2 linked regions of the Nothobranchius furzeri genome follow. The main gene of each other region encodes a partner of the protein of the gene in region 2 in a complex. Links are inferred from orthologs where the notes say so. Each region holds a gene or a part of one and is shown on either strand. Other genes may lie near its edges.

The links.
Region 1: strn4 (region 2) and stk26 share a complex: the UniProt entries of both Homo sapiens proteins name them as parts of the core of STRIPAK complex. The link is inferred for Nothobranchius furzeri from reciprocal best matches to the Homo sapiens genes STRN4 and STK26.

Annotation. Positions count from the first base shown.
Region 1 is NC_091742.1:86,837,198-86,842,230, reverse strand, and holds part of stk26 (serine/threonine-protein kinase 26), read right to left. Parts: intron 1,338-5,033; coding exon 1,269-1,337; intron 1,191-1,268; coding exon 1,029-1,190; intron 852-1,028; coding exon 795-851; intron 1-794. UniProt on the Homo sapiens protein: Serine/threonine-protein kinase that acts as a mediator of cell growth. Modulates apoptosis. In association with STK24 negatively regulates Golgi reorientation in polarized cell migration upon RHO activation.
Region 2 is NC_091753.1:40,964,922-40,970,392, forward strand, and holds the start of strn4 (striatin-4), read right to left. Parts: upstream 3,320-5,471; 5' UTR 3,184-3,319; coding exon 2,860-3,183; intron 1-2,859. Other genes in the region: ribitol 5-phosphate transferase FKRP, read left to right, coding at 4,751-5,471. UniProt on the Homo sapiens protein: Calmodulin-binding scaffolding protein which is the center of the striatin-interacting phosphatase and kinase (STRIPAK) complexes.

The sequences.
Region 1 (5,033 bases), on a different chromosome or scaffold from region 2:
TTTATGCTTGACGCATTCACTTTCCGCGCGGTGATGCGGCTCGCGGATGGAACGTGCTTCACAACTTGCAGCGTTTATGGTTCGTGCGGCTCGTCTCTGCGGTGAGCCAATATTCTCCCAAACTGTAGGGGGCAGCATGGAGCTCTACGGCATGCATCCAACACTACACCATAGTAGAAGTAGAAATTACTGTTTACAACATGGCATTCCAGCATTTTTTAACAGCGTCCTCGTCTTTTCCGACAGTGCGAGCTATTTCTCTCCAAGAATTATTAACAACATGTTGATCACGGTGATCTTTGAGAGCTGAATCATACAAATGTCTGTGTTTACGAACCTCTGCCGTAGTAGTTCTTGCCGGTCCGCCATGTTTTTCCGCGTCCGTCTGTCCGCGTGGTTAGAAATTTTCCGACGTGCGCATTGCGGAAATTCTGGGCCGTGCGGAGGCGCGGTGGAGGGGCGTGGTTGTTAAGATGACGCAAAATGACGCAACTTTTCCGCGCGGAGCGGTGCGGACCTCGCGGACGCGTCAAGCATAAACCAACCTAACGGGGCAAGACATTGTAGCACCATTGCTGGACTTTACTGGCTGATAAAATGCAACATAAAAGCTCAGGTTTGTCATCAGAGAACATCGTGTCTCAGATATTTTAGATGATACAAGATTAAGTGTGAGGACATTTAATTTTTTTTTACTAAACTGCAGCTACTTAGCATAAAACTCAACCTGAAGGTTGTTTTAGTGTTAAAAACTGTCTGCAGACAGACTGAATAGATAAATCCAGCTCGCTCACCAAATCCAGCGCTGAACCACCACCCAGATACTCCATGATGATCCATAGTTTACTGCCCTGAACAAGAAAACCATTTGTGTTAATAAGTTACAGCAAATGCAGCAAAAGGAAAACGATAAGCAGATGCTGGAAACCAGCAGCAGACACTAACTACGGCTGCTCTCTGTTAACTGTTTCACACACACCTTCGTCACCGACGAGACTCGGATCAGCCTGAACTATGTCTTTTCTCACCTTCAGGTAGGAGCCAAAGTATTTGGTGATGTATGGGCTGTCACACTGACTGAGCACGGTGATCTCCTGCTGGATGTCCTCGATCTCATCTTCCGCCTCCTCCAGGTCGATCGTCTTGATGGCGACAACACTCTGAGAGCGATTATCGATGCCTTTGAACACCTGTTGGAGGTAGATAAAAAGTTAGGATCAGGAAGGAATGGAATGTCTGAGACAAAACAAAGATGAAAATGGACCCACTTCTCCAAAAGACCCTTTTCCAATTCGATCCAGTTTGGTGAACAGCTCCTCTGGATCCACGTGAGAACTCTGAGGAGAGGAAACGGAAACATGTTGTCTTAAAAGTGTTTCCTTTGATGGAAAATTATTGTGATATAACACTAAATTAGTTTTTAGAGAAATGCCTTCAGGACAGTTATTAGCATCATAAGTAGGGCTGCTCGATTATGGCAAAAATAATAATCACGATTATGGTGACTGAAATTGAGATCTCGATTATTTAGGACGATTTTTCAATTTATGTTGATTTTATTTGTTTTTATTCCGTCATAAAATTGCTCAGGGCACAATCAGGACAAAAATAAATAAGAAACAAGATGATCACTAAAAGACATCACAATATACCTATAGACACATTACTAGTGTGTGTGTGTGTGTGTGTGTGCGTGCGTGCGTGCGTGCGTGCGTGCGGGCCTGCTTCGTCTTCTCAATCCCCAGTGAGTCGTGGAGGATGGCTGCTTATACTGAGCCAGGATTCTCTGGAGGTTTCTTCCTGTTAAAAGGGAGTTTTCCTCTCCACTGTCGCTTTATGCTTGCTTAGTATGAGGATTGCTGTATAGTCACTGACACTAGTCAGTGACTTGATGCAATTTGCTGGGTTCCTTATATAGGAAACATTATTTCTGATTGGTTTAATGAACTGTGAATTGGAATGTTTATTATGTGAAGTGCCTTGAGACGACTCTTGTCGTGATTTGGCGCTATATAAATAAACTTGAATTGAATTGAATTAAAATAACCCGATTCCCAGTATAAAAAAGACCAATACACTTATAGCTCATAGTTTATGACCCAAGGGCTATAGACCTTGGTTTCAGGGGTGTGTCCAGGGAGTGGTCTGGGGTAGCACATGCCACCCTTGGAATCTGATTGGCCACCCCAGGTACCACCACACTAATTTAACTTTAAATAGGCTTTTCATTGTCCACAAAAGGCTTGGGGGTAAAACAAAAAGAAAAGCATAACCATTGGTGCCACCCATGCACAAAGTTGTGCCTCACCTGGGCCACCCCATTCTAAAAGATCTGGACACGCCACTGCTTGGTTTAACTCATTTAAGTCTAACCAGTACAGACCCAAATACCAATATCTTGCAAATACTGACAGCAAGAATTATGCAGTGGCATTTATAACAAATACATGCAAATAAAGTGATGTTCACAAAATGTTGCATAACATTTAATGAGTCGTGTCAAGGTGCTGTAGGAGAGTGCACTAGCACCGTGTCCTCAGAGAGGTTAGTTATTATTTATCAGCGTGAGGAACTTATTTATACCTTATTCATGAACTATTTATTTACAGATCCGTCAGTTAATGTAATAATTGTCCCAACCACAGCTGTGGGAGGAGCGCTTCATTTGCAACTCGGGCAGCGCAAGTGGGAGGAGCAAATAATCGGCTTGTTTTGTTTTTATAATCGTTCAAAACTCAGATGGTAATTGGGATTAAAATTCGATTAATTGAGCAGCCCAAAAATAATTATTATGTATTTTATATGTCGTTATTCTGTCTAAGTCACAAATGTTATATTTATTTATTTATTTTAAATTTGCTCTTCCTCCTCCCTCTCTGCTGTGCTTCAGCTCTGCATGTTGATCAGCGATCCTAGAGGGGCTTCCTTCTCTTTAGGGCACCAAATTTAAGTTAGGGATGTCCCGTTCCGATATCGATGTCGAAAGTAATTTGATATTGGCCCAAAAACAGTGTATCGGATTATATCGGACTGCATCAAAAATCTCTGATATAAGCAGTCCATTAAGGTTCACATTTTTTCAACCAATGGTTGCTGGTTCCCAAAGTCAGAGACTCTCTTGCTCAGCTTGCTTCTCACACCAAACCCTCTGTCAGGAATCTTGGTGTGACCTTTGACCCAGCTCTCATCCTGGATTCTCATGTCAGTTCTCTTGTTCGCTCTTCCTTCTTCCATCTCAGGAACGTTGCTAAGCTGAGTCCCATTCTGTCCCGCTCTGAACTTGAGACAGTTCTCCACACCTTCATCTCCTCACGCTTAGACTACTGTAACTCTCTTTTCACGTGTCTGAGCAGAACCTCCCTGAACCGTCTGCAGGTGGTTCAGAATGCCTGTGCTCGGCTTCTGACCAAGTCCTCCAAACACACCCACATCACCCCACTTCTCCTCCAGCTTCACTGGCTGCCGGTCAACTTCAGGGTTCATTTCAAGATCCTGGTTCTGGTCTATAGGGCCTTACATGGACAAGCACCATCTTACATTGGCGATCTTCTTAGTCCCTACACCCCCAGCAGGTCCCTGAGGTCCAGTGATCAAAGCCTACTGGTTAGGCAGCACCAGGCTAAAGACCAAAGGTGACAGATCATTTGTTGCTGTAGCCCCCAGACTCTGGAACTCTCTCTTCCTGAGCCTGAGATCAGTGGACTCAGTGGTCTCCTTTAAAAAGCAGCTGAAGACTCACTTGTTCCGGATGGCTTTTGTGACCTTCATCACCACTCTCTATTCTGCTCTTATTCCGCCTTTTCTGGGATCCACCTATTTCCCTCTTTCCTATGAATTTTCTCTCTCCTTTTCCTTACATATTTTTTAATCACAATTGAAAAATTTTCTCATTGTTAACATATTTTTAATAATATTTAGAAATATTTTGTGTACATTTGTATACATTTGGGAAGTGCCTAATGACCATCATCTTGAGATGCTCTGTATAAAAGATTGTTTTCTTTTGCCACAGCTGTCGGCATGACAGACACATCAATGAACCAATCAGAACAAGTTGTAGGCAGTGTGCTGTTTTGTTTAGCTGGGGGTGCTCAGTGAAGCTGAGGAAAATAATGAAATAATCGATGCATGAAGATGCGGACATAAACGATTATGAATCTTTGCCAAAGCAACCATACTCACTTATAGCGGATAGCTGCTAGCACTAGCTACTAGCTTGCGTAGTCTTTAAGCAGTCATTACATGTATTCTCACATGACTGCTCAATCAGGAAACCTCGCAGTAAATGTTCTACTCTAAACTTTGCATTTGGCTTCGTGGATTTTATTATTTGGGGACGTTCGTTCGTGTTTTAGTTTTGTTTATCCTGCTTGTGTAGAAAGACTGGCCAAACCCCACCCCCACACAGTCAGGGAATGTCTATGGATATAATTACTGATAATATTGTGGATGACAGGATATGAGCCACCTCGAGATAGAATAAACATTTTACACTAATTATAAATACATAATACAAAAACGTAACTTCACTGAGCCAGACAGAGTTTGGAAATTTGAGATATTTTTTAGGATTCTGGCATAGTTCATCATATATTGTGTGAAGTGGTGTGCTTTTAAATTGATGTATTTTACTGGTAAAAAAAAAATTCCAAAATGTCTGAAATGTTGAAATGGAAAGAAAATCGCGATTTAGCAACAAATAAATTGTGATTTTTTTCCCCCCATATTGCTCGCCCCTAGTGCAAAGTAAAAAGAGTCCTTGGTAGAGTCGCGTTGCTGTTCGCCAGAGACGAGTTACCTGTATATCAGGAATAAGGAGTAAGAATCCAGATCCTGCCATTTTCTGCTCCCCTCTTCTATGACTAACTTCCACTTCCTGAAACAGGGCTGTGAGAGCATTCTAGAGACCACTGAGTGAACTTGCTCTTTAAGGAATCACAAATAAACATTTGTCTTTTAAATCTACCAGATGCTTTACACTGACACCATGTGTGATTTCATGTTTAACCCTATGGTAACTGTGCAGCATTAGG
Region 2 (5,471 bases):
TTTTTTTCTTTTTTAAATCACCTTTTAAAAATAATTTCAGCCGATGGCCGATATAGAAAAAAATGTTATATATCGGCCCGATATCTCTAGACCTGAACTAACACATATAAAAACAAACAGCCCGTTCATCAGCTAGACCAGCGGTATCCAATAATAATGACAAAACTAAATGAGAAGTATTAAAACCCTCAGTTTCTATAATATGATAAAAGTAAAAGAAGCTCGACTACAAGGGAACCTCACTGGGAGCACACCTGTTGTGCCATCTGATCTCTTTCCTGAGTGTGTTTTCCTCCATGTAGCACGCTGTCGCTGACCTTTTCCTTTTTGTTGTCTCACGGCGAGCCGACACACATTAGGCCTGTTCTGTCTGCTTGATTCTATGCTACAGAGCAGGGTCAAAGGCAGCGTCCCTTCTCCCGCCGGCCACTTTCCTCTGTCTCATCCTCAGGGGAGAACCCATGAGCAAGCAACTAGAGCAATGAACTTTTCTAGGACAGTCTGCTTTGGAGGAGTGTGTAGAGTGTGTAGTGCTGCAGCAGTCACCAGAGAGCAGCATCCTAAAAGGATGCAACTCAAAGCTAGAATACATTGTGTTTATAATTTTTTGTTGAATGATGGGAAAAAAATGTATGTGTGGGCAAAAAAAGCATGGTGTATTATAATCCACTTCACAGATGTCATACATGTGTCAGAGCTGAACTATTAATTAAACACGTGCAACCAAGGGGTCTAAAACCCACACTCAACAGGAAGTGATGTCATCTGAGTCACCAGTGATCTATTGTACGTCGCTCTTATCAGTAATAAAACTAAAGGACAGGTAACGATCTGTTTTCCCACTGAAGTAAAATAAATGTTCTGTTTTCTTCCTTTTTGAAAGACAAAGAAACATGTTGTCCACCCCAACATGTCCTCAGTACTGCTGTCCCGTGTTTGACCTGAGACATCATACATGGTTCAGAGAGAGGGGGAAACTTTCATTACTGGCCTGTCCACTGAGACACAAAACCACAGGTGGCCCGGTGGACTAACCACACACTCGCAGAGACCGCACATGTGTTGTGGCCTCACGGAGACGTGCTGTGCTACAAAGACATCCCAAAGCTGCACCAACGATAGCGCTAAAGGCCTCGATGATGGTCTTGCAGTCCAGGGAAGACTCAGCGTAAGGTTTCATGAAAACCTTGTGAAAGTCATCACATAAAACGTCACGTGTAACAACATGTGACCATATTATGCATGCATGTACAGTGTGCTGTTAAGTGTGCAGGCCAGAGCCAACGGGCACGCTCACTGGCATGCTGAGCTCTTCAAGCGTGCATGCAACAAAAGCCAGAGGCCTGTGGGTGTTAAAATGTAAGGCAGGTGAATCTTTCAGCCCAACACTCCAGCGATCTTCCCCTTCCTTCAGACAGGATGCAGCACTAATCGTACCAGAAACCAGATCGGCCATCAGCAACCACGGCCTGTTTCTGATTTCCCTTCTGTCTGCTCCACGTGCCGAATGAAAGCTCAGCCAGTTTGTTATTGTTCATCCATTTTTTATCCTTCTATTTATAACTACAGAGGTTTGAATCAGGGGCACACAGAGAACAGGAGAGCAAGTGATGTGCTTTTAAAAAAATATATATATGTTTTTACATTTGTTAAGCTTTGTGAGCTCAACAAGATAACTCAGCCTACTGTAATTACAGGGAAACTGTGGTAACAGAAGTAAACCCGCATATGGGTCCAAGAAGGAAAAACAAACCCTTCTAAATGTGAAGCAAAAGCGCATTTTAACACATAACTTTCTAGCATTTCTTAATACTGGAAAAAAGCTGAGAAGCAAACAAACTTTTTCCCACAATGCTCTGCCTTAAGGTTACATTACATCCATGCAGGGAACTATCTTCTGCTGCTGGCATCTAAAAAACAACTGGGACCACCGAGGGACTCAAGCTTTGCTCAGGGGCCTTTTTTAGACCACTGACTCACATATCACAAAGGTTTTTCCAGCCACTTTTACAAACACAAATCGATGACCTTTCAAGATGCGGGCCCACTTATTACCACAAGACAGACACACCGCTTATGGCCTGGTCAGTGGAAAGTCATTCATTTAAAGATTTCCCCTGCGACTCATTTGATTGTTTGATAAAAATGTTGATTTCATACCACACATAGCTGCAGATTATTGTTGCTTATGATCAATGATTCTCCTCTGATCGGTCTGTAAAGTTCACAAACCAATCCACATTTAGACAAGACTTTTCCTTTGAGAAAAAACCATCTAAATATCACAGCTGTGTGTCACTGTGACATCATCAGCAACCACAACTGAACAACCACATGATTTGATTTATTTTTGTGGGGTTTAATCAAATCTGGTTATTGTCTGCTTACAGACTAGTTCTGCACGTGGATTGCTAAACAAAATTATTTTTGGAAAGGTTGTGGCACAGAAGTGTATTTGATGTGTATGCACATGAGGGAAAGACAACCACACCAGAAGTATTTACCTTTCTTTGCAGTCGCTTGCTTTTGCAGGTCAGAATTTATTGAAGGGACTCAGAAAACTACGTTTTATGTGTTTCACTTACAGAGGATTCTTGTAGCAGTTTTCCATGAGGGAAGCATCAATTTAAGGTCATGTAGCGCCTCCACTTCCGTTTATTGAATAGTAATTATCCATCCTTCTCGATGCAATACGAAAATGTGTGATGTTAGCTCATTAGCATGTTCTTCCTCCGCCTGGCACTGATTCTTAGGAATATTAACAACAACAAACCAGGCTAAAGCTGCCCCTAAAACAGCCTTGCTCCTCATAAGTCCGTGTTAACAACAAAACGCACGCTTTTAGGTGGATACAATTACCCTGAGTTCGTCCCTCTCAGCCTCCCAGCGGTATTTCTCGGCCTGGAAACGTCCCCATTCGTACTGGATGAAGTGCAGGATCCCGGGAAGCGTCATACCCGAGGAGTCCCCGTCCTGTGCCTCCCGAGGTTGCACAGACCCGGGAGCCGCCACGGCTGCTGCCGCTGCCGCAGCTACTGCTGCCATCGGACCAGCCGCGGCGGATGATGTCGTCTGGCCCGGTGCTGCTTTCGGCCCGTTTGGGTTGCGCCCCGCTCCGCTGCTGCTGCCGCCACCGCCTCCGGAGTTCGGGTTTGGTCCGCCGCCGGATCTGTCCGCCTCCATTTTAAACGTTCAACCTCTCGCCAGTACAAGGAGGTGGAAACGGGCAAGACCGATCAACAAAAATAATAATAAAAAAGAACCCCCTTCCCCTTTCTAGCCCACGGTTCTTCCCCAAAAGCGACCCTCTATTCTTCCTTTTCTCACACAGTAGAGTAAAATTACTATTCACTTGGTAAAATACTACACTTCCGCTATCAAACCTTCACAATAAAGCATAAATCTTGACACACTTTTCGAATATCTTGAATATTTTGTGGCCAGAGGAAAACATTACACAAATACTTTTGATTCGACAAAAACGAACAAATTGCACTAAAGTATAGCTATCTGGTATCATTGAATCAAAAACAATCACTAACGTTGTAATTGCGACTCTTATTTTTACTACTCTTACTTCCTCCTCCTTGTGTTCGCTTTACTGTCCAATGTAGTTGACAAATAAAGGGACGTGTATTCTCTAGTACACAATGAGCACGTCTTCTTGGAAGTTGATTTCCTGCCATTTTGTGAACAGGGGCGTTTGCAGATAGTAAAGTTTTATGTGTGTTTCACTACTGCTTCCGGTTCTTTATTTTGATAATTTCATTACATATTTTCCGAGGTAAAATTAAAAAGAAAACATTCACTGGGGAAAAAATATAAATTAAGATATTTTTCTTACTGTGACAAATTCAACAAATCTGGAGTCCTGTCATTTCACATGTGGAAGGTATTCAACCAATGTAATTGTATTTGTTTTTGTTTGTGTGTGTGTGTGGGGGGGGGGGGGATTTGTATTATTTAGTGAAATACTGCATTTTTAAGAGATGTTATCAGAAATTGGAGTTTTGAAGCCCACATGAGTCCTTTTGTTTCAGAATTAAAAATATTTGTTTTTATTTTGAAGGAAGATGACCGGAAAAGATTGTTGTTGCTCCGGGCAACAAACCAAAGTATGCTAGCAAATCGCTAAAATCATTCATCAGGCTTTCTCGTATAAACTAGCGTCTTATTGATTTGATATCCGCATTTAGTTGCCGCTTTATATTGGTGTTTTGGGAATTGTCAAAATATACATCACATTTGTACATATTTTAGCGGTTTAATATCCGTATTTGCTGCAGAGCTGGTGCACAACGGCATTTGTTACTACAGAGCTACACCTCTGAAAACTACTGCTTGACGATGGCTCCATGTCTTCAAAAGTCCATCTTCTATCGAATATGATCACATATTTTCAAACAAAAGTAAGTTATGGTAGAATTTACTATCTCGTTTTATTGACTGGTACTACAGTCGTTGGTTGATTTTACTGTACATCTTACTCTTTCAGGAGCATGCTTATGACTTTTCAGAATTTAGAGATTTGTCACTATAACATATTTAATTTGTGCCATAATAAATTAACATGATTTTAATGCATTATAACTGTTGCACATAAATATGAGTGTTTCTCTTTGTTTTGTTAGTTTGTCTCTAAATCCCATTCATCCACCTTCAAACCCATGGGGACCAGAGACCTGCCGCTGGATGCCTTTACTGATACGCAGTTTTTATTTCAAGCATCTCTGGACTAAATTCAGTTGCCATGCGCATCACCTTCTGCCAGACTCTGTTAACTGGTGCCATCATCGTCAACCTTCTAATTCTCTATTATGTATCCCGGGCCCAACAACAAATGATGGAGAAGAGGAAGGAGCTTGGCCATGGCACCAGGAGGGCCGCTCGGCCAGTCTCTGGACTTGGAGGAGGACTGGGATTTGTTGGAGGAGCCGGAGGTGAACATGAGGGACACAGTCGAAGCCCACGTGTCACTGTTCTTCTTCGGGAGTTTGAAAACTTTGAGAATTACGTAGGCGATGTGGCGAATTCCTTTCTTCATCAGCGACCAGAGCTTCCCTTCCTGGCTGTGACCGATGTGTTTCCATACCCTCCCCTTGTGCTTCCCGAGGGCACTCGGCTTCTAGTGCTCTCCCCCAGCCCAGAGCAACCACCGCAAGCTCACAGGCCAGAGTTTCACGTGCAGACGGAATTTGTGTTGCTGGTGCCTGATGGAGTGGAGCTGGAGCAGCCGCGAGTCATTGAGCGGCTGATCAGGGAGTTGGAAGGGGAAGGTGGAGGTCCTGTGAGGCTGGTAGCTGCACCGGTTCTAGCTCGATCTGCTGTGCAGTGTCTCCACTTGCGGGTGAACCTCAGAGAGTGGACAGCCACCTACTCACCCGCAGCATCTGGAAGCAGTGGGAGCGTGTGCACAGCTTTACAGGGGGATGCAGTTGTCCTAATGCACACCGAGGATCTTTTCAACCTCT